Tribolium castaneum: one gene and its partners. The main gene of each other region encodes a partner of the protein of the gene in region 7 in a complex. Links are inferred from orthologs where the notes say so. Each region holds a gene or a part of one and is shown on either strand. Other genes may lie near its edges.

The links.
Region 1: Polr2H (region 7) and Polr1C share a complex: the UniProt entries of both Homo sapiens proteins name them as parts of the pol I pre-initiation complex. The link is inferred for Tribolium castaneum from reciprocal best matches to the Homo sapiens genes POLR2H and POLR1C.
Region 2: Polr2H (region 7) and TfIIA-L share a complex: the UniProt entries of both Homo sapiens proteins name them as parts of the TBP-based Pol II pre-initiation complex. The link is inferred for Tribolium castaneum from reciprocal best matches to the Homo sapiens genes POLR2H and GTF2A1.
Region 3: Polr2H (region 7) and Polr1H share a complex: the UniProt entries of both Homo sapiens proteins name them as parts of the pol I pre-initiation complex. The link is inferred for Tribolium castaneum from reciprocal best matches to the Homo sapiens genes POLR2H and POLR1H.
Region 4: Polr2H (region 7) and Tif-IA share a complex: the UniProt entries of both Homo sapiens proteins name them as parts of the pol I pre-initiation complex. The link is inferred for Tribolium castaneum from reciprocal best matches to the Homo sapiens genes POLR2H and RRN3.
Region 5: Polr2H (region 7) and mrn share a complex: the UniProt entries of both Homo sapiens proteins name them as parts of the TBP-based Pol II pre-initiation complex. The link is inferred for Tribolium castaneum from reciprocal best matches to the Homo sapiens genes POLR2H and GTF2H4.
Region 6: Polr2H (region 7) and Polr1B share a complex: the UniProt entries of both Homo sapiens proteins name them as parts of the pol I pre-initiation complex. The link is inferred for Tribolium castaneum from reciprocal best matches to the Homo sapiens genes POLR2H and POLR1B.

Annotation. Positions count from the first base shown.
Region 1 is NC_087396.1:18,341,018-18,344,281, forward strand, and holds Polr1C (DNA-directed RNA polymerases I and III subunit RPAC1), read left to right. Parts: upstream 1-1,373; 5' UTR 1,374-1,485; coding exon 1,486-1,548; intron 1,549-1,597; coding exon 1,598-1,898; intron 1,899-1,945; coding exon 1,946-2,065; intron 2,066-2,110; coding exon 2,111-2,524; intron 2,525-2,573; coding exon 2,574-2,683; 3' UTR 2,684-2,764; downstream 2,765-3,264. Other genes in the region: N-acetylneuraminate lyase A, read right to left, coding at 1-82, 128-273, 321-489, 535-680, 729-1,068, 1,115-1,366; proteasome activator complex subunit 4, read right to left, coding at 2,847-2,981, 3,028-3,237. UniProt on the Homo sapiens protein: DNA-dependent RNA polymerase catalyzes the transcription of DNA into RNA using the four ribonucleoside triphosphates as substrates.
Region 2 is NC_087395.1:25,201,029-25,204,475, reverse strand, and holds TfIIA-L (transcription initiation factor IIA subunit 1), read left to right. Parts: upstream 1-1,293; 5' UTR 1,294-1,502; coding exon 1,503-1,990; intron 1,991-2,232; coding exon 2,233-2,683; 3' UTR 2,684-2,947; downstream 2,948-3,447. UniProt on the Homo sapiens protein: TFIIA is a component of the transcription machinery of RNA polymerase II and plays an important role in transcriptional activation. TFIIA in a complex with TBP mediates transcriptional activity.
Region 3 is NC_087397.1:21,420,328-21,422,798, reverse strand, and holds Polr1H (DNA-directed RNA polymerase I subunit RPA12), read right to left. Parts: upstream 1,056-2,471; 5' UTR 967-1,055; coding exon 840-966; intron 783-839; coding exon 532-782; 3' UTR 501-531; downstream 1-500. Other genes in the region: PolD1 (DNA polymerase delta catalytic subunit), read left to right, coding at 1,150-1,202, 1,252-1,516. UniProt on the Homo sapiens protein: Core component of RNA polymerase I (Pol I), a DNA-dependent RNA polymerase which synthesizes ribosomal RNA precursors using the four ribonucleoside triphosphates as substrates. Can mediate Pol I proofreading of the nascent RNA transcript.
Region 4 is NC_087395.1:22,076,404-22,080,490, forward strand, and holds Tif-IA (RNA polymerase I-specific transcription initiation factor RRN3), read left to right. Parts: upstream 1-1,287; 5' UTR 1,288-1,446; intron 1,447-1,494; 5' UTR 1,495-1,500; coding exon 1,501-1,954; intron 1,955-2,006; coding exon 2,007-2,112; intron 2,113-2,224; coding exon 2,225-2,836; intron 2,837-2,884; coding exon 2,885-3,063; intron 3,064-3,107; coding exon 3,108-3,366; intron 3,367-3,415; coding exon 3,416-3,590; 3' UTR 3,591-3,658; downstream 3,659-4,087. Other genes in the region: ATP-binding cassette sub-family F member 3, read right to left, coding at 3,777-3,929, 4,021-4,087. UniProt on the Homo sapiens protein: Required for efficient transcription initiation by RNA polymerase I (Pol I). Required for the formation of the competent pre-initiation complex (PIC).
Region 5 is NC_087396.1:20,771,892-20,775,861, reverse strand, and holds mrn (general transcription factor IIH subunit 4), read left to right. Parts: upstream 1-1,386; 5' UTR 1,387-1,509; intron 1,510-1,535; exon of another isoform or gene 1,536-1,566; 5' UTR 1,567-1,586; coding exon 1,587-1,738; intron 1,739-1,783; coding exon 1,784-1,888; intron 1,889-1,937; coding exon 1,938-2,069; intron 2,070-2,121; coding exon 2,122-2,307; intron 2,308-2,355; coding exon 2,356-2,536; intron 2,537-2,593; coding exon 2,594-2,677; intron 2,678-2,769; coding exon 2,770-2,963; intron 2,964-3,014; coding exon 3,015-3,255; intron 3,256-3,299; coding exon 3,300-3,443; 3' UTR 3,444-3,470; downstream 3,471-3,970. Other genes in the region: G protein pathway suppressor 2, read left to right, coding at 3,775-3,970. UniProt on the Homo sapiens protein: Component of the general transcription and DNA repair factor IIH (TFIIH) core complex, which is involved in general and transcription-coupled nucleotide excision repair (NER) of damaged DNA and, when complexed to CAK, in RNA transcription by RNA polymerase II.
Region 6 is NC_087399.1:7,561,557-7,565,056, reverse strand, and holds part of Polr1B (DNA-directed RNA polymerase I subunit RPA2), read left to right. Parts: intron 1-2,784; coding exon 2,785-3,071; intron 3,072-3,121; coding exon 3,122-3,472; intron 3,473-3,500. UniProt on the Homo sapiens protein: Catalytic core component of RNA polymerase I (Pol I), a DNA-dependent RNA polymerase which synthesizes ribosomal RNA precursors using the four ribonucleoside triphosphates as substrates.
Region 7 is NC_087396.1:10,332,757-10,336,871, reverse strand, and holds the start of Polr2H (DNA-directed RNA polymerases I, II, and III subunit RPABC3), read left to right. Parts: upstream 1-1,315; 5' UTR 1,316-1,378; coding exon 1,379-1,451; intron 1,452-4,115. Other genes in the region: Epp (ecdysteroid-phosphate phosphatase), read right to left, coding at 177-272, 501-696, 743-983, 1,036-1,148. UniProt on the Homo sapiens protein: DNA-dependent RNA polymerase catalyzes the transcription of DNA into RNA using the four ribonucleoside triphosphates as substrates.

The DNA of each region.
Region 1 (3,264 bases), about 8.0 Mb from region 7:
TGGATTCAACCAGTTTTGGTAAAAAGTTCAGACTTGTGCCCATAATACACGTAAAACCGCTCGCAGCAGCCCCCAAAATTGCCTAAAAGTGGAAATTAAGTGGGAGATATGGCCATAAAGCCCCTACTTCGTCGGTGCCCATAAAAACGGTAAACTTTTCCCTATTTACCGCCATAGCAGCGGTGCTCTGTTGTATATCATTCGTGCTATAAATGACGCCTACAAACGAATCCACTTCTCCCGTTATATCCAGCAGAAACGACGTAATATCAACTAAAAATGAATTTTTTCGTGTCTTGTTCATCGTTCGAAACGCTTACTTTCAACTTGCGTAAACTTGGGATTGTGGTGATAGAGAATGGGGACGTTTTTTGTAAATTCTGATATTAATTTTATGTACTTGATTAGGTCTAGGTGGTTTTTTGGTTTGTTGTAAAGGTCGGGGAGGATTACAACAGCGCCGATGTCCCTCTTAGCGGCGTGTTTTGCCTACAAATGAAAAATATTAACAGTTTTAACAAATGTTTAAACTACCATTTCTATAACGTCTTTGAGGGGGGCTCCCCCGATTTGTGCCATCAAAAACTGATTTGTTTTTTCACAAGCGTCAGCCCACGCGTCCGCCAAATCTATTCTTTCATGAATGGTTAAGGACATTCCTTCCCCGGTTATGTCATTAACTAAAATTGACCATTTAATTTAATTCATTTTCTAGAGTTGCGAAATACTTAAAATTCCTTTAATATTGCAAGCTTTTAAAAAATTTGCGTATTTTGGTATAGCCTTAAGGTTTACATCAGGTGTCACTCTTTTTAAGTTAGTAAATGGGGTAAAGACGGGGCACAAAAGCCCCCGAAATTTAAATTTCTGTGCCTTGAATGCAGGCATTGCCGCTTTGAGGGCATGTTTCTTTGACGACATGTGTTTGTGAATGTCGGAAATCCCGCATCTGTAATCCTTTTTACAGAATTTGCAGTAGAAATACGTATTTCCATGTATGCTCTCTGATAACCATGCTTTCAATTCGGGTTTATTCTCCCATTCTTTTTTGTACTTTGGTATGTATTTCTGCGGGAAGGTGGTTGGTTTTTCATTTGGTGTACTGGTGACTTACCTTCGAGTTACTGTCTCGTGATTTCTTTGACGCTGGTTCAAGATTTTCGTCTTTTTTGTCGTCTTGTTTCTCATTTTCTTCTTCGCTGTCTGACTCTTCTGGCACAAAATCGGCAAACAGAGCCTTAGCCGTTTCAGGTGTGCTTATTTGTGAGTCTTTTTCAGCCTTGCTTTTCGTGTTTGAAGCTTCCTGTTTGGAGCATTCGGGTTTCGTCATATTTTTCAAAAATTGTTTATATTTTTCACAAAACATAACCTAAAAAGCTGACATTTTAAGTGGCTTTTGGGTGGTAAGGACGGTAAGGTTGGTAGTCATTTTTACGAAAAACGTGCGTTGTTTGAGGTTATCCAAGTTTTTGAAACAAGTTTAAAATGGATAATATTCTGAATGACGAAAAGCCTCGAGTGATTTTAGGAGAATATAAAGTGACGCAGGTATGTCCTTTATTATTTTGTATTAAATTCCTTCAAACATCCTTTGAAGAATTTGCCCTCGGAACCAACTGTTTTGGACGAGAAATGGGACTTGAAAACCTTTAAGAAGAGATTTAGGGTGGTGATTGTGCGAAGTGAAGAGAATGAACTCGAATTTGACTTGATAGGGATTCACCCGTTCCTAGCAAACACTTTCAGAAGGTTAATGTTGAGTGATGTCCCCACAATGGCCATTGAAAAGGTTCACATTCTTAATAACACGTCTATAATCCAAGACGAAGTTTTGGCCCATCGTTTAGGCCTGATACCGCTAAAGGCCGACCCCCGATTATTTGAAATGAAAACTGATCGTAAGTCTTGTAATGTTGCCGTTCCAAACGTTACAATATTTTTACAGCAACTGCTGAAGGTACCGAACAGGATACTCTAGAGTTTGCGTTAAAAATTAAATGTACCAATAATAAAGACAGCAGTAAAGACTCACTGCGAGCTGAAGATATGTACAAAAACAATAATGGTAATTACCCCGTTTGAGAAACAATAAAAATTGCAATAATTTTAGTGTATTCAAAACACATCAAATGGGTGCCCATTGGTAAACAGAAGGAGCGGTTTAGTGACGTGGGCCCCATCCACCCTGACATTCTCATTGCCAAAATGAGGCCAGGCCATGAGTTAGATTTAAAATTATTAGCAGTCAAGAGCAACGGGCGAGACCATGCGAAATTTTCTCCTGTCGCAACCGCATTTTATCGCCTTCTTCCCGACATAAAATTATTACGAGAAGTGGAAGGTGAAGCAGCTGAGAGACTCCAAAAATGTTTCTCTCCCGGTGTGATTTCAATCCGACATGAAAAAGGCCGCAAATACGCTGTTGTAGCTAATGCGAGGTATGATACAGGAAGTCGGAATGTTTTCCGTTATGAAGACCTCAAGGACGCAGTAGCGATGACCAAAATTCAGGATCATTTCATTTGTAAGTTTTTTTTTATTTACTTTTTCAGTTTTTATTAATTGTAATTTAGTTACGGTCGAATCTGTGGGGGCTTTACCACCTGATGTGATATTCATGGAAGCTGTTAAAATATTAAAAGACAAATGTCTTGCTTTATTAGATGAATTAAGTCATGTATAAACATTTCACTTAATATACTTTTATCAAACCACAAAAAATATAATGAACAAGGTTAAAAATAAAAAACATTTGACGCGTAAATTTTTGCTACCTTAAACCTTCCTTCACCTATTGTCTAGTAAAAAATTAAATTGTAAATTGACTGGAATCGGAAAATTATTGCCTAGGCGTAATAACTGGGAGGCACTGTGAGATCACTTAAAACTAACAGTTCTTCCTCAGTAAATTTGAGTTTGTGGATTTCCCAGTTTTCGTGATGCGTTCGCTTGAAATCTCCCAAGGTTTTGCGAATTGTTGCCTAAAAATTATTAATTATTTTTTTAAACGACGAAAGTGTGACTCACAGGAATGGGTTGGGGGTCGTTCAAATGGGGTCCTAATTGTCCAAAAACATCCGGTAAAAAGTCAGGTACGTCGTATGGATGGCTATTGATAAAAGCACACAAGCCCAAAACTCCAGCATGTCTAAATCTTAAAGTACTAAGATTCAAACTGTTTGAATTGTTCAAATTTTTCTTCTTCAATTTAGTTTTCGCTTTCTGTTTAAATTGCGCCTAGAATTCACGAATTATTTAACGATA
Region 2 (3,447 bases), on a different chromosome or scaffold from region 7:
TGCCTTCAAGAAAGTGAAAAAAAAATTTTTTTAATGTGTTCTATCATAGTTTTTCGTACTTATATGTGCCTTTACAACCCTCTAGGGTTGTTAAAAGTTCAAAAAAAATCCTTATGTTCGATTTTTTAATATTTGATTTTTTCAATTTTCGTCGCAGTTTTTGTCGGTTTTGGGTACCCGGAACATTTCTCGAGCAATAGCTCCGGAACTATTAGAGATAACCCCATGAAGTGTATTATCGTTGGAAAGCTCTTTTAATTGTCTATCTTTTTCAAAAAAGATCTTTGCTCTCCGACTAATAGTTTTCGAGAAAATTGCAGATAAATGCAAAAATTGGTAAAATTTTAAAAAATTCGTAACCAAAAAACTAGTGGGAATTTGGCAATTTTCTCGACGCCAATCGATTCCCTGGATCATTTTGCATAGGTAAAGATCAAAACAGTTCCCCTTTTTCGAATAGTTTAGTCGTAATTGAGAATATAATAAAAATTAAAAATAAATTAAGACCTCCCTCCCCTCCAAAATGGCCATTTTTAAAAGTGTCTCAGAATCAAATAACACTTATCCTTTCTTATAGATTTTGATGTGCTCTTTACGATGGAAAAAAGAGTTTTTTCCTAGCTCTTTTAGTTTGGCCGTAATCGGCGATTGAAAATTATAAAACTTTTTGCGAGATATCGCTTTGAGTCCTATGCCATTTTGTAGAGTTTTTATTGCGCTTTTCTACAATTCTTCCGTTTTTAGATAACTCTAATAATTTCGCCGTAATCGGCAGTTGAAAATGGAAAAAAAGCGAAGATGGAAACTTTATTTGCGTTTTTCTCGGAAACTCTAAGACTTAGAGAATCAAACTAAAAAAACGGATGGCGCTTAAAATTATCTATTTTTTCGTCCAAACCCGGAGCTGCTCCGGGCAACGGTTCCGGTTACAGAGGCAATTAAAGTTTTACACTAAAAAAAATCATAACCCAAAAAGTAAAAGTCGTTGGGCAATGCGGTTTGTTTCATTTTCTTTGTTATACCAGCTTTTTTTACGAGATTAAAAATTTTGATTTTTTTTGCTAAATTCTGCTATATCGTAAATTAACTTAATTTTTGTATTTCGCGGTAAAATAATTCGGGCAGCCATTTTGTGCTTTAGTCAACCCACAATACACCACTTTTTTACTATTTTCTTATTGCTTAAATCTCTTTTTTGTACCCATAAAAACCCCACGACTCACTAATCACCATACGACTTTTTTGTCGTGGTAGTAATTTTTTGTGATAAGAATTGATAAAAACTCTTCATTCCGGCGCTTGCGCACTATCCCCGATCGCGTCCTGCCGTTACCCCAAAATTTTCCTCATCTCTCGCCTTCATTTTCCATCAAAATGTCGGCCATCTGATTTCCCTAACCTCAAAAGTGCATATGTGCGCGTAAAAATGCCATTATCGCCCGTTTCCACTCTCGGAAACCGTTCATAATCAGCTTAACGTAGTGTGGTGCGCCCCCAAGGCCATGTCGAACTCCCTGTGCAAGACTTCGGTGCTCCGCATCTACCAGGAGGTGATCGACGACGTGATCAGCGGCGTCCGCGAGATCTTCCTGGAGGACGGCGTCGACGAGCAGGTCCTCCAGGAGCTGAAGCAGACCTGGGAGACCAAGCTCAAGGCCAGCAAGGCGGTGCAGAGCGAGGAGGAGAAGGCGAAGAAGGCGGAGATGACCGCCACCAACGGCTTCCCCAAGCAGCATGTGGCGCAGCCGGCGGCAGCCCCCGTGGGGCAGATCGCCGAGACGAAGATGGTCCCCATCCAGATCACGCTCCCGGCGCAGCCCGGCAGCGACCAGGGCCCCAGGATACTCACGATACAGGTCCCCGCCACGGCGCTCCAGGGGAACCAGCTCCAGAAGGTGCTCACGGGGCAGATCATCACGGGGATGATGAATTTGCCCGCCAATATTGCGTCTTCGGTGCTCCAGCAGCACGTCAACGCGGTGTTTAACAGGTAGTCAGTTAGCCCCCTTTTAACTTAAATCGTCCACGCAAAATGTTTTCGGGTCACCCTGTACAAAGAAAAATACATGTTTTGTGCACACTTATGCAGATATTTTTGTCAATAATTGTTTTAAAAATTTTCTAATTATTGTTTAAAATTTTATCGGATTTTTAATAATGTTCTCTTCGGAATAAATAAAAAAGCTTGTAATAATTGTAGTTTTTTGTTATGAGATAACGTGTTTTTAACAGCCAGCAGCAGCAGATCGTGACCATTGTCAACCGAAACATCGCCCAGACGGACGGAAGCCACGCCGAGGAGGAGGAGGAGGAACAAATCGAAATCGAGTTTATTTTGCCTAGGAAGAAGGTGCCCCAGGTGGACGGCCCCGTGGACACGTCCGACGACGATGAGGACGGGTCTGACGACGATAACGACGACGAGGATATCGATGACGATAAGGACGAAGAGGATCAAGAAATGGAGGAAGAAGGTGGTGAAGAAGAGCCCCTGAACTCCGAAGACGATGTGACTGATGACGACCCAACTGATTTGTTCGATACTGATAACATCGTTGTTTGTCAGTACGATAAAATCATAAGAAATAGGAATAAGTGGAAATTTTATTTGAAAGATGGGATAATGAACTTGAGTGGACAAGATTATGTCTTCCAAAAGGCTAACGGTGATGCGGAATGGTAATTAGTGTTTTTTAAGAAGTTTTGTTTTTTTTTTATTATTTTCAAGTCACTTGCACGCAAAACCCGTCACTTATTCAAGGGAACGTTGGGTTCCGACTTAAGTTATTGAACTTTTGTATGTAAAATGGGAGAATAGCCTGAGTTGTAGAATTGTGTTATCCATTATAAATGTAACTAATAATAGGCGTTTAGATTTAATCGAAATTTTTACTATGTATTATCAATTATCGATAGCCGTTTGTGAATAAAACTATTTTTGAAGTTACACCATTGGTCGTTTTTCTAACACCTGGAAGATGACAAAAATCGCAAATTAGCAGCTCTTTTGAAAAAAAATCATAACTCAAAAACTAAAAATCGTAGAGCAATGCCTATAATGGAAAATTATATTCAACAAAAAAATTCATAATTCGAAAACTAAAAGTCGTAGAGCAGTGCGGTTCGTTCCATTGGATTCAGCGCCTTTTTTTCTCTATTATACTAATTTTTCACGCAATTTAAAATTTTCAATTTTTTTGCTCAAATTTCCTGAGTTATACACTTACTTACCTTCAAAGAGGTGAAAAAAAATTTTTTTTAAACTAACTCCAGCAAATTTTTATGGACTTCTACATGTCTTAACAACTCACAAAAGTTGTTAAAAGTCCACAAAAAGTCCAAATGTTCGATTTTTTGATGTTTGATTTTTTCAATTTTCGTCGCAGTTTTTGTCGGTTTTGGGTACCCGGAACATTTCTCGAGCAATAGCTCCGGAACTATTAGAGA
Region 3 (2,471 bases), on a different chromosome or scaffold from region 7:
TAACGTAAAAATACAGGGTGATTCAAGTAAACAGAACTTTGTAACATCCAAAGCAATAATATAAAAGGTAGACTTTTTTTATTAAGTAAAAACATAACACAAACAATTAAGTCTCACTTTCACTCATGTTGTAAGTTGGTGTAGAGCCTAAAACAGTCACTAGTCATTTTTTTGTATCTTCAACTGTATTTGCAGCGTTTTGAAAAATATGAGACAATGCGGCAGATTTCAAATATTGTTTTTCACGTTTCTCGTAAAAATTTTGGGCGTCACTTTTTTTCAACCTATTACGGTACGGATGTATTTTTTCCATTAATTGGTTGAAATAAAATTAATGTAAAACGATTATTAGGCGCCAAATAACACTCGAAGCGCCCAATTTTAATTCTACCGTACTATTTTACACCCCGTCTCGCTTCCTAATCTATAGTCCTCCATAGGACTATAGATTATTTGTTCATTTTTTTTAATTATTAATGCTTTTAAATTGAATAAATTAGTTATTAACAAAAATGCGTATTTATTGACCAATTACGAATTTTCACTCTCTTTGAATTTACATTTTGTGCAAGTATAAAACACAGTTTGGCCCTCATCTGCTGATCTCAATTGAACTGTCGCATAAGTCATTTTATCATGACCACATTTGGCACATTTTCTATCAACAACAGGACCATCATCTTCTTCTTCATCCTTTTTATTGTTCTGCTTGTTCATTGAATGAGTTTTGTAGTCTCGCGAATTGAAGTGTATCACATATGAAGCTTTAGTTCCTCGAAAAACTACAAAAAAAGTATTATCAATTCTTTAGAATTATCATTGAGACAAATTTAACTTACCATCTGATGGAAAATTGCGTTCACAGGCATAACATTTCACACCTCCTGTTTGTTTTAAAGGTGGCAAAATGGAACCACAGTCGGGACAAAACCCTTCGATACTTTCAAAATTAGGGCCAGTACTCATTTTTAATTTTTTGAGTGATTTAATTCGAAAAATTAACCTAAAAAACACATGTGTCAACTGTTGGGAATTTTCCAATTTACATATTGGTCACACTTCACGCATTTCAAGACAACATAACCTATAATTATTTTAAGCGGGAAGAAACTGAAATATCTTGTTTGGAGTCCGTTTGTTTACAGCAAAATGGCAACAAAACGCAATCTTCCGCCTCCGAATTCATCAGGGAAGAGGTTCAAGTAAGATTTCTTGACAAAAAATGATTGTTTTCTATTTGGTTAATTGAAGGAACGACAAAATTTTTCGCCCCCCAGTTGGCGATTTAAACCCCACTGATGATGCACTAATTTTTCAAGAATTAGAGTTGGATCATTACATTTCAGCCCCTTATCCTGGAATGCCAGGGGCTCAAACTGGTACTGTTCCTGTGATTCGAATGTTTGGTATTACAAAAGTGGGCAATAGTGTGTGTTGTCATATTCATGGTTTTTCTCCATACTTTTACATTAATCTGCCGAATGATTTTACACAAGCGGATTTGTCCCGTTTCAAGGTAGGAATTGTTTAATATTTAAACCCAATATAAAACGCGATAAAATGTTCTAAGATTAAGTACTGATACAGTCTTGTCCTTATCAGAATTTTGACACTGACAGTTGTTTATATAAAAAAAATAACTATATACGTTTGGTAACAAGTGGTAATTGTTTGGTAATAAATTGTCAAATAAACAATGAATAAACAATTGCGTAAACATAACAACGCTAACTACTTTGATCTGAGCTTTTACCATTCAAAACTTAAAAAACACCAACGCCGCATTTTGCCGAATATTGTTTTTAAATAGTATTGATAAAATTGTAAAATTGTTATTTATGATTGGAACTATCATTGAAAGTATAAATTAGATTAGCTATTATTTTTTTGAAGTGCGTGAATAATTTATAACAGCTAATTTCAATTTAAAGTATTGAACCAAGCATTTTGCACCTAAAATATACAGGGTGTCTCACGAGGTAGTGCATATACAGAGTGACCCAAGAGTTCGTGCATGCTCCATAACTTTTTTTCTATGCAAACTATCAATTTAAAGTTTTTTTAAACGATAGGTCTTACAATATTTTTATGTTGTAATGTTGTAATAAAATACTCCACTAGGTTTTGTTTTTTTAATTGGAAACCCCAATTTTTATTATATTTTTGAAAACGTGACTAAATTGTCGATATAATGCACCCGGGTTTTATAGACTTATCTGTCATAGTTTTTGACTTATGTCAATTTATGTGTGAAAAGTGTGTCGTGCAAAGACCCTCAAAAAATGTATAACTTCAGAACCATTTAAGATAATGTAACAATTTTTTTTCTTAGCCAACTTCTTAAGCTTTAGCGCATCTTTTGCAATAAAAGCAAACTCGATGTCGATATTTTAGCGCCTACTACGATTTTCTGAATATGACAAACTACATATTGCAATAACTCGATTTTTTCAAATGCAACACCCTGTTTA
Region 4 (4,087 bases), on a different chromosome or scaffold from region 7:
CACAACAGTATTATTTTAAGTAATAATCTTAAGTTATTTGTTCATTCACATATCATTAGACGTAAGGACGGTTGTGTACCAAGTGATCATTTGAATTCATTACAATTAGAGTACCTACTGAAACTGATATTGAAAGAATGGTTAAGACTTGAGTCTACCAACTATTCGGAGGAAACTCTCCTACTCTAATTACAAATGACGACATATAATACTCGCTCATTAGTATTAAGTAGCGTCCTTGTTGTTGTTAAAGAGTTTTTTTACTCATTTATAAAATGTAGACGTAATAAATTATGATATTAATTTGAAACTACCATTCAATTATTTTTCCTTTATAAATTCGTTCTTCAGAGTCTTTTTGACAATATTGGTTACACACAGCGCGTGCTGTTAACATTTAAACAGCACTTTTTTAAACAGGAAAGTACTAACCATCAAGGTTTTTTACATTGTTCCATAACTGCTGGAAAAGAGAAATCAGAGGTGATTATTTCTGTTGTTTTTTTCCCTTTCCCAAAGATCATCTGAGGCAAGTGCCCTCGATCCGGCTCTGCCCCTATATCATGTAAAGAATCTTATTCAAAAAAAAATTAATACCTGCTTAAGTATGCTGAGTTAAAAATAATCGAATTCTTTTAGTTTTCGAGAGTAAGTTTGTTCTTACAAAGTGGATTTGTTTTAATTGTGAATCCTGTGAAGATTTCACTAAAATGTTTGGCTGAAATTATTTGCTTAAGAGATGAACTTCTGTGGTTGTCGGGTTGGACCTTAAAAATGTGCCTCCTTGTGTTTTTCAGATCAAAAAAAACGTTAAATGACAAAAATCAATACATTAGACAAACCTCCTTGTTCCCATCTTGTAACAATAAGTTACCTCACAGATTATATTTTTTGTTGGTGTCGTACTTGTTGCCGTGTCGTTTAATTTTACTCACTTTATGACTTACTGTTTTGTGAAAGAATTTTTGCGGATTAAAAGTTCCAAATTCGTTGACTAGTGCGTGCTGATCGCGGTTAGTGTGTGCTATTGAAAGGGATTTTTAAGGGGAAAAGAGAAAACAACCCGGATTAAAGGGTTAGTTTTCAATAATTTATTTTTAGAAAAGTTTCTACATTAAAATCTATAATATTTTCAACGAATTTACTGGTACAATGTTCCAATTTCACTGTTTTTTATTTCAGTAGGTTCGTGAAATGCTTTTGAATAGGTGATATTAACATCTTGTACTGATTTTACTTTTAATTTATTTTAATAAATTAGCCCGGCTCAAAATTTAAATAGTAGCCTTGCCAACCAAGCAACTTCGAAAAGCCACAACAAATAACCCTAGACGCAGACGTCAAACCACACGTTTTTCTCCTAACCTGTAAAAGATGTGATTTAAATAACATTGTGAAATACTGTTTTTATTGATTGACTGTGACTGAACCGTTGCTTTAATTTATGTAAGTGCCATATTTATCATTTTTTCAGAAAAAACAAACAAATTTCAGATCATTATGTCTTTATTCTCGGCCCCCACGAAGTCAACGACCCCTTCCTCGATCCTGAAGAAAACCCCAAGTCTCAAATCGACATTAAACCGCTCCTTGAAAGTGAACACACCCACTAAAGTCCGATTTATTTTACCACACTCTAAAAAAGTGCGCCACATATTGAAGGACTACATCAAACACGGAAATGCAAAGGATTATGAAAATTTAGTGTGCCTAATTCGCGATGCCGAACTGTTTGATGACGATATTTCCTCACTGTTGAAGGAAGCGACTGAGTGTATTTCAATAATGAAGCAGGAGTTACGTCTTTTTGTAGAAGCACTCCTTTCAGTTGACTGGATCGAAAGAAACGAAAATGTAGTTAAGGAGTATCAGTCATTTATTGCGAACTTAGTCGCTGCACATAACTATCACGCAGATTTTGTGATAAATAAATTAGTCACATTGTTTTTTCCCCGTAAGTTTGGTAAAGTAACTAATCACCAGTTAATTACCAGTGAATTATTTAGCTCTAACAGACCCTGAATGGGAAAATGGAACCCCCAGTAAAACGGATATTCTGAAGTGCCAACACGTCCACTCCCTCCTCTGTGAACTTCTAAGAACAGTCCCTTTGTAAGTAATTTTTCAAGTCTCAGGTACTTTCCGGATGTAATTATCTAGAGTAATAAGCAATTTTCTCTATAAAATAGTTTATAAATTAAATCTGTGCTAATGGGCATTTCAGGTGCAACGAATTGCTAATCCACGCCCTGATCGACCACTTCCCTTACATGAACAAATCGACCCACATCCACGAATACTACATCCAGAACCTCCTCTGGGTCATCTGCTACCAGCCCACTCTCAGACCCAACATCCTCCACTTAATTTTCTCAAAACTGATCATCATGGACGTGAGTGCGCCCCGCGAGGAAATCGCGAAACTTGAAGAGGAGGAAATTTTCATGATGGACGAGAGCAAAACAAACACTACGATAAATCTGGACTGCGTCCATTCAATGGCACACACTTTGGACGTTTGCCTGGATAAAGTGTTCAATTACATTTACTCCGAGTGCCATGAGCCGGGCACTAATGACTTGAATTGGGGCAAAACCAAGTCTTTATACCAGGATATTTTGACGGTCTTTGATCAGTCGATCCTGCCAACTTACAATACTCATCACGTCCAGTTTGTTATGTTTGTGCTGTGTTCCTTTAAAACGACGTTAACGGAGGCGTTTTTTAATTACTTGTGGAAGAAGGTGTGCAATCCGAACGTCGCGTCGGTGATTAGACAAGCGGCGGTTAATTATATTGTCAGTTTTATAGCGAGAGCCACTTTCGTCCCCCTTACGTAAGATTTTTTCAATTTTTTATGCCCCAGTTTAATGGAAAATTGCAGCATGTTGAAGGGGACTTTGCAACAAATGGCCGAATGGATCCACTCGTATATCGCCACTCAGGACGGCCTAGAGTGCGTCAATTCGGACCTAAGGCTCCACTCTGTCTTCTACACAGTGTGTCAAGCCCTCTTTTATGTGATTTCGTTCCGGCACAAGGATTTAGTCAACACAAAAAAAAGTAATGATTTTTTTACTCGAACATTGTCACAACTTTGATTACAGATGTCGTATTTTTGGAGAGTCTGAACTTGGCGAAAATCGTAACCAGTCGGTTAAACCCGTTGCGGGTTTGCCAACCTGCAGTCGTGCAAAATTTCGCTGCTATTACCCGAAAGTACCAACTAGCCTATTGTTACTCAATCATTGAACACAATTCGAGGAACACTTTACCGACTGTTTATAGAGACGAGAAAGGTTTTGTGACAGTTTCAAGTAACGTCCTAGAGGCGTGTTACCCGTTTGATCCTTTTGTTTTATCAAGGTTCGTTGCACCGTTTTTTGGGGGATTCCCCTGACTGTTTTAATTGCAGGTCGAGTGCGAAAGTGCACCCGTTTTATCGGGACTACAAGGAGGTGAGTTTTGAGGTAAACGATTCAGAAATGAGGGAAATTGGGGACGTTGACGATTTCCTCGAGAATGACTTTAACTCAAAAACGCAGAAATTCTCATACGGGACTTCGCCAGGGTTTAAATTTAAGGGCTAATGTGATACTGATTTATGCAAGATGTTATTTATTAATTTGATAGGAAAATAAAGTTTCTCAAAATATGACCTATATTTTAATACCGTTATAAACATGAATATATTATAAATATAACAAAAAATCATAAATAGTTTTTCCACAAAGGAGGCACATTTATACAAATTTCTCTATTAAAAAGTAAACTCGTTATTTAGACTGACTTTCGAGTTCCTGTTCGACAAGTCGTCTGTACTCATCAAAACCTTCTATACTTCGCACAGAGCCATTACCACAAACCCACAACTCCTTGCACACTTTGCGAATAAGCCGCTCGTCGTGCGACACAAGTATCACACCGCCCTAGAAAAAATTAAGCACAAGGGAGGTAAAAAAATAAAAAAGTGTATGGTGGTAATGTGATCACCCAAAAGTGGTAAAAGCGTTAACTTACGGTGAATTTGACTATCGCATTCCCTAAAGCTTCAATTGTTTCGATATCTAAATGATTGGTGGGTTCG
Region 5 (3,970 bases), about 10 Mb from region 7:
ATTTAACCCATTCCACATGAAAGCCCATTAAATACTCTACCTTTCCTGAAAATTTCATCCCTCTAAAAGTTTGGGAAGACATCCAACCCTTAGTTTGAAATATGTCAACATTTTATTAATAATATTAAATATTTTTTTAGTACTATTTCTTTTTGTCGACGCATTTAACCCATTCCACATGAAAGCCCATTAAATACTCTACCTTTCCTTAAAATTTCATCCCTCTAAAAGTTTGGGAAGACATCCAACCCTTAGTTTGAAATATGTCAACATTTTATTAATAATATTAAATATTTTTTTCTAGTACTATTTCTTTTTGTCGACGCATTTAACCCATTCCACATGAAAGCCCATTAAATACTCTACCTTTCCTGAAAATTTCATCCCTCTAAAAGTTTGGGAAGACATCCAACCCTTAGTTTGAAATATGTCAACATTTTATTAATAATATTAAATATTTTTTTCTAGTACTATTTCTTTTTGTCGACGCATTTAACCCATTCCACATGAAAGCCCATTAAATACTCTACCTTTCCTGAAAATTTCAACCCTCTAAAAGTTTAAGAAGACATCTAACCCTTAGTTTGAAATATGTCAACATTTTATTAATAATATTAAATATTTTTTTTAGTACTATTTCTTTTTGTCGACGCATTTAACCCATTCCACATGAAAGCCCATTAAATACTCTACCTTTCCTGAAAATTTCAACCCTCTAAAAGTTTGGGAAGACATCCAACCCTTAGTTTGAAATATGTCAACATTTTATTAATAATATTAAATATTTTTTTCTAGTACTATTTCTTTTTGTCGACGCATTTAACCCATTCCACATGAAAGCCCATTAAATACCTACCTTTCTTGAAAATTTCAATCCTCTAAAAGTTTGGGAAGACATCTAACCCTCTGTTTGAATTAGTATGTCGTTCTATTAACTTTTTTTTTCAAATAATGTTTTTGAAGAAGAAATTAACGAATAATTATCTTATTTAGGTGGAATCTGCCCCCTAAATAATTGGGTAGCATGCCCTCCTCGTTTTTGTTTTGCCTTTATTAGGCGGTTTCACCTTTTTGTGTCAACTAGTAAACTATCTACATCCCCCATTGCTTTCAAAGATACAACAAGTTTGAAATTGCATTTACTTTATTTTTTTTAATAACAATACACTTGAATTTTAAAAGAAAATGAGTAAATAATTTATTTTCTTATAATTTGTGAGAAACGTAGCAACGTCGCAAAGTGCTGAAAACGCACATCCGTGATTTGACTGGTCCGCTGGAAATTTCATGGTGCTAGCTCTTTCCAAAGTGCTATCGTCACCGTAATATTTTTGACCAACCCTGCCACCCAAATTCCCCAACGTTTGAATAATTAAAAAAACATAGCCAAAATATTTTATGCCCAAAAACTTGGCATTTCGAAGCAGAGCGAAAACCAAGTTTTTTCTACACTTATTAAGACGAAGCGAGTGGTTAATTAAATAACAACTCCTTCGGAGGAAAAGTTGGGTTAGCTTTAAATCTGACAATTGCGTTGACAGTAGTTACCCTAACCCTAATTTTAAGTTTGCAAGGGGGCTGTTTAAATGGCAGACGCCGAGCCCGCGCAACCCAGCTCGCTTTTTTTGAAACCAACAAACTTAGAATGTAAAAACTTGTACGACTACTTAAAAACGCGCTCTTCGGCAACGTTGGAAAAACTCTACAACCATCCAACGATTTGTTTGGCCGTTTACCGGTAAAAACCCACTTTAAAATTCCAAATTTCGATTGACGATTTTAGAGAATTGCCAGAACTGGCACGCCAGTACGTGATTCGAATTTTGTTCGTTGAACAGCCGGTGCCCCAGGCAGTTGTGGCGTCATGGGGGGCTCAGGCCTTTTCCAAGTGAGTGTTTAAATGCGCTTGTACACACGAAAAGGGGGGTTATTTGTAGAGAGCACGTTTATGTGAGTAAGGTTTTGAGCGAATTGTCGGTATGGCAGGAGGCTGCGATTCCAGGGGGGCTCCTAGGTTGGATCCTTTCAGTTACGTTTAAAAAGAATTTGAAAATTGCCTTATTAGGGGGGTGAGAGTGTAATTAGTGTGATTATTGCAATGACTGCGTGATTTATCCCAAGGGGCAAACCTTGGAGCATGTCTTCGGCTTTAGAAGTTGACAGTAAGGCAAGAGATGTGTCTTTTTTGGACGCTTATTCGCTCGAACGGTGGGAATGTGTGTTACATTACATGGTGGGGTCGCAACAACAAGAGGGAATTTCTGCGGATGCTGTCAGAATTTTACTACACGCTGGGCTTATGAAAAGGTTGAATTTCTCCAAAATTGACTCGTTATCTTATTTATATTTATGTAGAGACGAGGAAGATGGCAGTCCTGTTATAACACGTCAAGGCTTCCAGTTTTTACTCTTAGATAGGCAAGCACAAGTTTGGCATTTTTTACTCCAATATCTCGACACAGTTGAGCAAAGAGGATTAAGTCTGGTTGAATGTTTAACGTTTTTATTCCAACTCTCATTTAGTACACTTGGAAAAGTATGTCATAACTCATAACACTTGGCGTTTTTTTTTAATAGCAACATTTTTTTGTAGGATTATAGCACTGAAGGCATGAGTCCCGGCCTTTTAATTTTTCTCCAACACTTGAGAGAATTCGGATTAGTGTATCAAAGAAAAGTAGGTCTTGTTTTCGTTACCATGGTTACCAAATTTTTTTTTCTGGACGTCACATTCCACAGCACCCATGATTAATGTAATTAATTTTGTAGCGCAAAGCAGGCCGTTTTTACCCGACCAGATTGGCCTTAAATATTACGTGTAGCCAAGGCCCCGAAACTCGAATTTTGGAGGAAGACACTCCAAAAGGTTACATAATTGTAGAGACAAACTACAGGGTTTATGCTTACACGGATTCTAATCTTCAAGTTGCTTTAATTGGTCTTTTCACAGAACTGATGTATAGGTGGGTCACAAAATAAATAAAAAAATGTTATGACTATCGGACTTTTCCCAGGTTTCCGAACCTTGTAGTGGGCGTAATAACACGTGATTCCATAAGACAGGCTTTGAAAGGGGGAATCACAGCCGATCAAATTATCGGGTACCTCAAACAACATGCACATCCTCAAATGTTGGAAGGTGAGGCCAAACATCCTCTACCTCCGACAGTTGTGGATCAAATCAAACTGTGGGAAATTGAGCGGAACAGATTAACGTATTCAGAGGGCGTTTTATACAGCCAATTCCTATCACAGGTATTACAAGAAAAATTGTTACGCGGTTTTAATTTGTGTTTTAGGCTGATTTTAATATACTGAAAGAGTATGCACAGTCTAATGGCCATCTAATTTGGTGTAACAAAGAAAAACGGACTCTAATCATCAATAAATCGGCACATGATGATGTTAAAAAGTTCTGGAAGCGATATTCGAAAGGAAATTAATTTAGATTTAATAAAAACTTTACCACTGATCGTGTTTCATTTAAAATTCCCTCGCGGATGAAACAGTATCGCCAATCTAAACCAATTCTGTTTTCACGCGAAACGGGCGTTTTTCGCTACAAATTCGTATCAAAATGTTGGGAGTTTCGGCCCAAGTGCTTAAACTAAAAAAAACATGTGGAAGCGGGTCAAAAATTTGAGTTTTCGCCCAATTTTGGTTAAAATCTGGCCAATAAATTGTTGGCAATCCTGCCGACAAGTGTCAAACGTCATGTTGACATTGACAGTTCCTGTAAAATAACAATACGAAATAATTCGTAATTTGTGCAAAATGCCTGCCGCTGTGGACAACAGCAAGCCGGATCGGTCCGAGCAGATGTGGAAGGTGCTCAAAGCGCACATTCTGCGTGAGCGCGCTCGCAAAAAGCAAGAACGGGAGGCCGAAGTGGAAGAGGAACGTCTCCGTAAAGAACGCGAAGCTCGCGAGCAACAAGACGTCATGACTTTGGGTGAAACCCGCGAACAGA
Region 6 (3,500 bases), on a different chromosome or scaffold from region 7:
ATACTTCGTTATTTTGCTACCATGTTTGGTATTGAAAAGAATTCTATAAACCTTGGATACTTTTACGGTGAACAATGATCATTTTGCGTTATACACAAAAATACTTTGGATATTTTTATGTTGGATGAAATTACGTTTTTGACTTTTTTACGGTGGACAGAAGTATTGTAGCAACGTTTTCTTTGTACACCATGAAGTTTAACAACAGATAATGGTGTTTAAGATCAGCGAGCCTCACAATAAGATGTTTTGACAAGGGCGACCCGAAAATATTTACGATATCGATCGGTTCGTTGAAAGATTGCAACCTGTCTGCAATAAATCACACAATAAGCTTGCCTGAATAATTAATTAGCTTGAAAGGTCCTTGTGGTTTGGGCTAATCATAATAAAAATCATTTTACTTTGGACAGAAATACTTTGGACTTTTTTACTTTGGACATAATTGGCTCTCCCGTTTTTTAATGAGTTTTCTATTATAAATACTAAATTGAAGAGGTCTCCATTTTTTAATGAAATGGAAAAACTACTTAACTGGTTAGGTATTTTGCTTACAAGGGCAAAAATAATAAAAAAATCTCATCAAGTCCAATTGTTAGGGACAAATCTTCTTTTGAAGGTTTTTGGTTTTATATCTGTTCTTATTTCTTCACATTACATAATTATGTATTCTGTAAAACAGTAAAAAATCTAAGTACAACACATTTCTTCTACTTTTAAAGAATGCATTAAATTTAATTTTGACTTGCATACTTTTGCTGAAAACACAAAAAAAAATAATACGTAATAACGAGTATGTAGTACGCTATTAAATATTTAGCGAATTTTTTCATAGCTCTTTTAAAATAATTTTTAATTATACATCAATGTGCATTTTACACTTTGTATTTTTGTTATTATTAATGTTCTGATTTTGAATTTTTTGAAGTTAGTCACTTGCACTTTGCGTATATTTTAATTACAAAAATCGTAGTTGCCAACAAATTTATTTTTTTTGCTGCCACCTACAAAAACAAAATTAAAATTGATTTTTTTTATTTATTTTTCTATTGTTGTTACACTTTTATTTAGTTCTTAAAACGCTTATTTTACAGGTTTTTATCTTTAGAGTTTTTGTTTATAAGCTTCAAATAACTGTTTTGTTGTAGCTGTCGAATCATTATTATACATTAATTTGCTTCTCTTATTTGCATTTTTTATGTGGCAATGTAATTGTCTTCTTGTGTTTATTTTTATTTTTTTAAATTACCAAATAATTATTCTATTGCTGGCTGATTAGTGATTACTGATCACACCATTTTGCAGTAATTTTTTTTAATTTGGATTAGAGAAAAAGATATAACAGCTACAAGGGAGAGAACAGTAAAAGATGCTCAATAATTTAAAGAATTTTGAATTAAAGTCAAACTTTTTCAGTCTGCGGATTATTTTTTCTTTCACAAACAATTCAGATAGGGATAAAAAGGGTAGATAATCGAAAAGACAATTCATTTATCATCGATTTTTTTTATTTGTGAGCTAGATAAATCATTTGAAATTGGTTGAAATAGTTGGTACAAATTAAATGCACAGTATTTTATTTGAACGATTTATTTTATTTACTGTGCATTTATTATTTTTACTGTGCATTTATTATTTTTTACTGATCAAAATCGAATTTATTACTGATCGCTTTATTTAATTTAATTTAATTTAATTTGTCGATTTTTTAAATTCTTTTAGTTTTTGGTTCATGAATGAGCTAAAATTTCCAGAATTGGCTGAAACCACTGAGTATATGGTGAAACAAAGAAGCAAATAAAGAATAAATATTTGCATATTAAAAACATTGTTTTTTATTTTGTTATACTTTTCTGTTTCTTATTCTTTTTTCTATGTTTACGTTATTATATCTTATTTTCAAAAACTAGTCGGTTTGTTTCGACAAGATCTGTTGGAAGTTATTTTCTGGTGAAAAAAGAGAATTTACTAAAACATTTTTCGGACCTGCTTTCGGGACTTTTTTAGTTTATTTCAGTGCCTAACTAGCCTGAATTTTAAGAGCAATGAAATAAAAAAAATGATCTATTCAAATAATGGTAAGCACAAGGTAAAAAAATACAGAATCGGCATTTTCAATAGTAATTCGAGACAAAAGTACAAAAATTTTAGTGACAATAAAAAAAAATATGGACGTATCCGAATTGCACACCATGGTGAGAAAAACAGGAACCTCTTGACCAGTTGTCCCTTATCGGTAACCGAGCGGTGCATCAAAATTTTATAATTTTATTTATTGAAGGAATAATAAAAAAAATCAGTATATTATCTATCAAACATTATAGGGTAAGTTCGAATAAGATAGATTACATACAAAAGATTGCAATTTGTTTTTCATTTGGTTATTCAAAAAAACTTTTTTCTTTACTGCTCGTTAACTGAATTTTTACATTATGTCGTAACTTAAAAATTTAGTAAATTATTTACAAATGTGAAAATATTCACAAGGAGAGACACTTCCTATCCTTACCTGTGTTTGATTTTGTTGAAAATTGACGGTGGTATTCAACGAAAAAAAAAAACTTTTATCAAAAACTGTTTAGTTCTAATTTTCATTGGGTAAAAAAAGTGTAAAGAGTAAAGTTGTGAAGAATCAAATTTTCTGCTAAAAACTGGAGACCCTATCTCTATTCTCAGCTGTTTTGGTGCTATCCTGTCATTCAGCCACCAGTAAAAAAAATAATTTTTGTTTTAACGTATTTATTAAAAACCGAAGTGTTTTGCAATTTTTCGTGTTTTTTTTAGGTGTTACGACCCACATGGAGCTCTCCAAACTGGCCTTCCTCTCAAACCTAGCCCAACTAATCCCCATGCCCGACTGCAACCAATCACCCCGTAACATGTACCAGTGCCAGATGGGCAAACAAACAATGGGCACTCCTTGCCACAACTGGCGTTCCCAATCCGAAACCAAACTCTACCGCCTCCAAACACCGGCGACTCCCCTTTTCCGACCCGTCCACTACGACAACATCAACCTTGACGACTTCGCCATGGGCACAAACGCCATTGTTGCCGTTATCAGCTACACTGTAAACCCATTAACTTCGGAAAAATCCCCAATTGAACCATCTGTTCCCAGGGCTATGACATGGAAGACGCAATGATAATAAACAAAGCCGCGGACGAGCGTGGTTTTGCCCACGGTTCCATTTACAAAACCGAATTTGTAACACTTGAACACGAGTCTTCGTATTTTTGCCGAAACCCGGAAAAACCGGAACTGGCCGAATTCTTAGACACGGACGGCTTGCCAATCATCGGACGCCGAATGAAAGATGGGGATCCCCTGTACTGTTACTACAGTGTGGACGAGTCGGTGTACAAAGTAACCAAGTTTTCGGGGAAAGAGGAGTGTTTTGTCGACATGGTTAAACTGTGCGCCAGTTTTGAAACGACCAATCGGACGGCGTGTTTCACGTTCAGAGTCCCGGTACTTCCCCCACATTTTTTTTTATTGA
Region 7 (4,115 bases):
TAATGATAGGTAAGAGAATATAAAACTGTTAGTAAACCAGCAACTTCAGTAAAAGGATAAATAAATGTTAGTAACAAAAGGAAAAGCAAAGTAAAAATTCAAACTTTTAATAGAAAATAAATACAAAAAAATGATAATTATCTAGAGGAAACTACACTAAACTACAATTTGCTTACATCTACTTCCCCGAGGAATGCAACGAGCAGTTGTTGTGGTACACCACGGAAAACAGGCTGTTAGAGCATCGAAATGTTCGTATGTGTCACTAATAACTGCAAATAACCACCACCTTTAGCCAGATTGTCATGCTAGTATTAAGAACAACTACAAGTAATTTGATTACCATGCAAGCATGTGTCGTTATCAATTTATTTACAATGTTGAGAAAACATGATTAGTAATAATAAGGACCAATCATTATCTAAATATTTTTCTGGTAATCAAAAACCAACAAAGTTACAAACATGCCCATCTACTGGTTTATAGAAAAATCGACTTACTAGCATTTGAAACTTCTTTAACATATTGCATGGCAATCCTTTTTAAATAATCAGCGTGCTCCTCCGCCACAAAAAACCCCATAAAATTTGGAGAAGTATACGTTTCTAGTTTTAGGGGCTCGTTCAACATAGCGCCCTGCCTTTCCATTACGGACTTTAGGCTTTGCGCCAGATGTAGGGCGTCTTCATCAGGCGCCTGTTACACATCATTAAACGAATTCAAAATTTATCAAATGAAATACCTTAAAAAACGAAACTAGCGTAATGTGCGGCGTGAAATTGTGGGCCCCGTTCCAGGCGCATTCCCTGTGCGACTTCTCCCAGAAGGTCTGTAACTGTTCCAGGAAAGGTCCCGTGGGACACGCATATAAAATGTACTCCCTTGGAGAGTTATCGTCCAGCAATGGGTCATTTACGTGGGCCAGTAACCAGTCGGAGGCCAACTGCACGCCCCTGTTACCAGTGGCAGCTAAGGCCTTTTCGCTGTGTGTAATTTCAAGTTACCCGAAAGTTTATTATCATTTTGTTTACTCACGCTCTGTGTTTGGGGAACCCCATCTGGAGGAGGATTTGTAGCGGGGTCAGGTGCTGTTTGGATATTTTTGTAGGTGTGGGGTTCCTCCTAGGGGGTAGTGTTGCCATTTTCATTTAATAAATTATTAATTTCAACTAGGTTAAAGTTTGGTGTTGACACTTCTAGTGGACCTTTGACATTTAAACAGTGACGTTTTTGTTTTGGTTTTGTTTGGGGAATTGGCCTTTCAGATGGCGGCACTGGTTGGAACACTGTCAAGTGTTGATGTCTGTCAAAATTTGCCCATTTTCATAAGAAAGTATTAAAGTGTGTTAATTTTTTATTATTTACACGTTATTCGACGATGGCAGGTGTCCTGTTTGAAGATATATTCAACGTGAAAGATATTGATCCTGAGGGAAAGAAATTTGATCGAGGTAAGTGGCTTTTATCGTCTGTTTGTTTGGATGTGTGACCGGCGTTTTTGAGGTTATGTTTTAACGTTTCGTAAAATTGCTCGAAATTGTGTTAAATTTTGAATGTATTTAAAGTTTACATCTTGTCTCATTTACCTCTGAATTTGGAAAGCGTGTGTATGTGGTTATTAATACGATAATACCGTCCTACTCTAAATATTGGTTATACCCCCCCACCTGTGTCCTAGTTGTGGCATCGATTGGTCTTTTTTAATGCATTAAGAATAAAACCAATAAAAACAGGCAGATAGAATAGATTTTTTTTGGTTAGAATTAATTACTTGAAGGACTTATATTAATAGAATTATGCAAAATTAGTCTTACAAAATTTTACTTTTATACTAATAATTTTTTAACGTATTAATTTTTGTTTAATACTTGTGTGGTTTGTAGGTGGTGTGTATGGGTGACATGGGCCGGCCCCCATTTTTGTTAAAACTGTTCGCTGTTTGAATCATTTGTGAAGACTGATGAATTACATGAATTAATTGTAATACAAAAAGCAATAAAATACATATTAAGAAACACGTAGGGGTTTAGAGCATTCTAGCTGGGATAATAAATGGATATATTAATTACACTAGTTTACAATTTTTTTTCTTTTACTAAGAAATCATTTCTACTAGGTAATTTTGTTTTCTACTTACTCACTGATAACAAAAATATACAGGCTATTTGGCAACACAGTATTAAAAAAACATTTAGGGTGTATCAAAATTGGCGAATTCCGAGTTCTGAGCACTGTAGAGAATTGCTTTAGTAGTCCAAACATCGAAAAGAGTTATTAATAATACGGGAGCAAAAACAAAAACTTAAAGTTCGAGAACTTTAAAAGCGTTTTCGCATGAGTGTTATTAAATTTTTTTTTTTGGAATATTTGAACTTAAATGAAAACACGTTGCTATGGGAAAAGCGTTTTAAAATAGTGTTTAAAATCTAGGATTCAGATATTAAAAAGAAGGCTTCAAATGTTACCAACAAAAAAATATTCGGGGCTGCCTCACAAAGATACATTGGTTTGAAGATTACTCTTTGAACTGCGTTTTTTTTAATTCAGCCTATATGTTTCAGTGTTTATTCTTATTTGTGGTGACGATGATTGTGAAGAATAATAACTGTGAACGATTTCTCAAAAAACTAGCTTTATTATTTTATATTTATATTTATTTTTTTATATTATTTTGGAGTTTTTAAAATCTTAATTTTTTTAATTTGCCGTTTTGTTTTTAAGAAAAATTACAAAAATTTAAATTTTTTACTCTAAAATGAAGCTGATTTTTTGAAATATTGTTTTACATTATTATCTTCCACAATCATCTACATCATAAGTAATAAAAATGAAAATAATGAAAAATTTTTAGCCTTCATTTGAAGAAAACGCAATTCAAAGTGAGCTGACGTGCACCTTCAAACCACTGTATCCTTGTGGGGAAGTTCCGAATCTTTATTTTGTTTTTACATTTAGTCTAGTGAAGTGATTCTTTACAACGCTCTGACCTCGGAATTTGTCAATTTTGAAACATCCTGTATGTTACATTTTTCTATCACATCTAGTTTTTTTTTAATGTTCACTAAAAGTTTTGAAAATTGGTTTCTGGTGTCTAATTTAGCATCCGTTGTTTCTGTGATGAACTAATTGTTAAACATTTTATTTGCTTTAAAATATCATTAAGTGAATGTATTAGACTTACCGATACGCATTGGTTTCATCTATTGGCAAAAAACGTTGTAAACTAGTGTTATTAGGAACTGAAATGAATAAAGAGAAGAAATACAAAGTAAAAAATTAAACCGACGTTTAGAAATATTACACTTCGAATTTTCCAAGTTAATACATTTTATTAAGTACTCCTACACATTTCAAAATGATAAAAATGCGATTTATTTTTGTTTCTATCATATTGAAATTAAATTGTTAAAAAGAAAAAGAAAATCAGTTGTTCCAGTAAAAATTAGTTAAAAATATTACAGGTAATAACACTGTAACAAAAAGTGAAAATTTTTGTTTTTATTCTGTATTATTACTATTATTAGTGTTTATTGAAAGCATAGGTCTTTTTGAATAAATTTTTGGTCACAATTTATTTTTAGTGTCGGTCTGCGAAAAAAAAGTGGGGGTTGACAATTTTTGATTTTACTCAAATTTAATAAGATGTTGTGATGTTATCCATGAAAAAGATTAATAATTAGCCACAAAACAACTTGTAACTTGATTAAATGTAACGAAAAGAACACAAATTAGTTATTAATAACAGAAAATTTGGTGGCACAACGCCAGTGGTCCTAAATTATGTTTAAAAAATCTAGTCATACATGCCTGCTTACTGGATGGTTCTAACAGGTGAAAAATGGGGTCTTCACTGTTCAATGTTATAACGAAATATGTCCAATTTTTGTCATTTTGAGAAAAATATAGAAACGTATGCTATAAAGTCCCTCTCTTTCAAATGCAATAATTGTTTTTGCAATAGAGTGGTTTATTTAGATGTTATTAAACAATTTTGTTATAACACCGAAAATTTGTGAACATTTGTTCAGCAGAATAATGAGATAAGTCAGTCAATCGTTTTCTCTCTATAAGTCTACAAATTACTATTAAATGTAAAGTAATATAAAAAACTATAA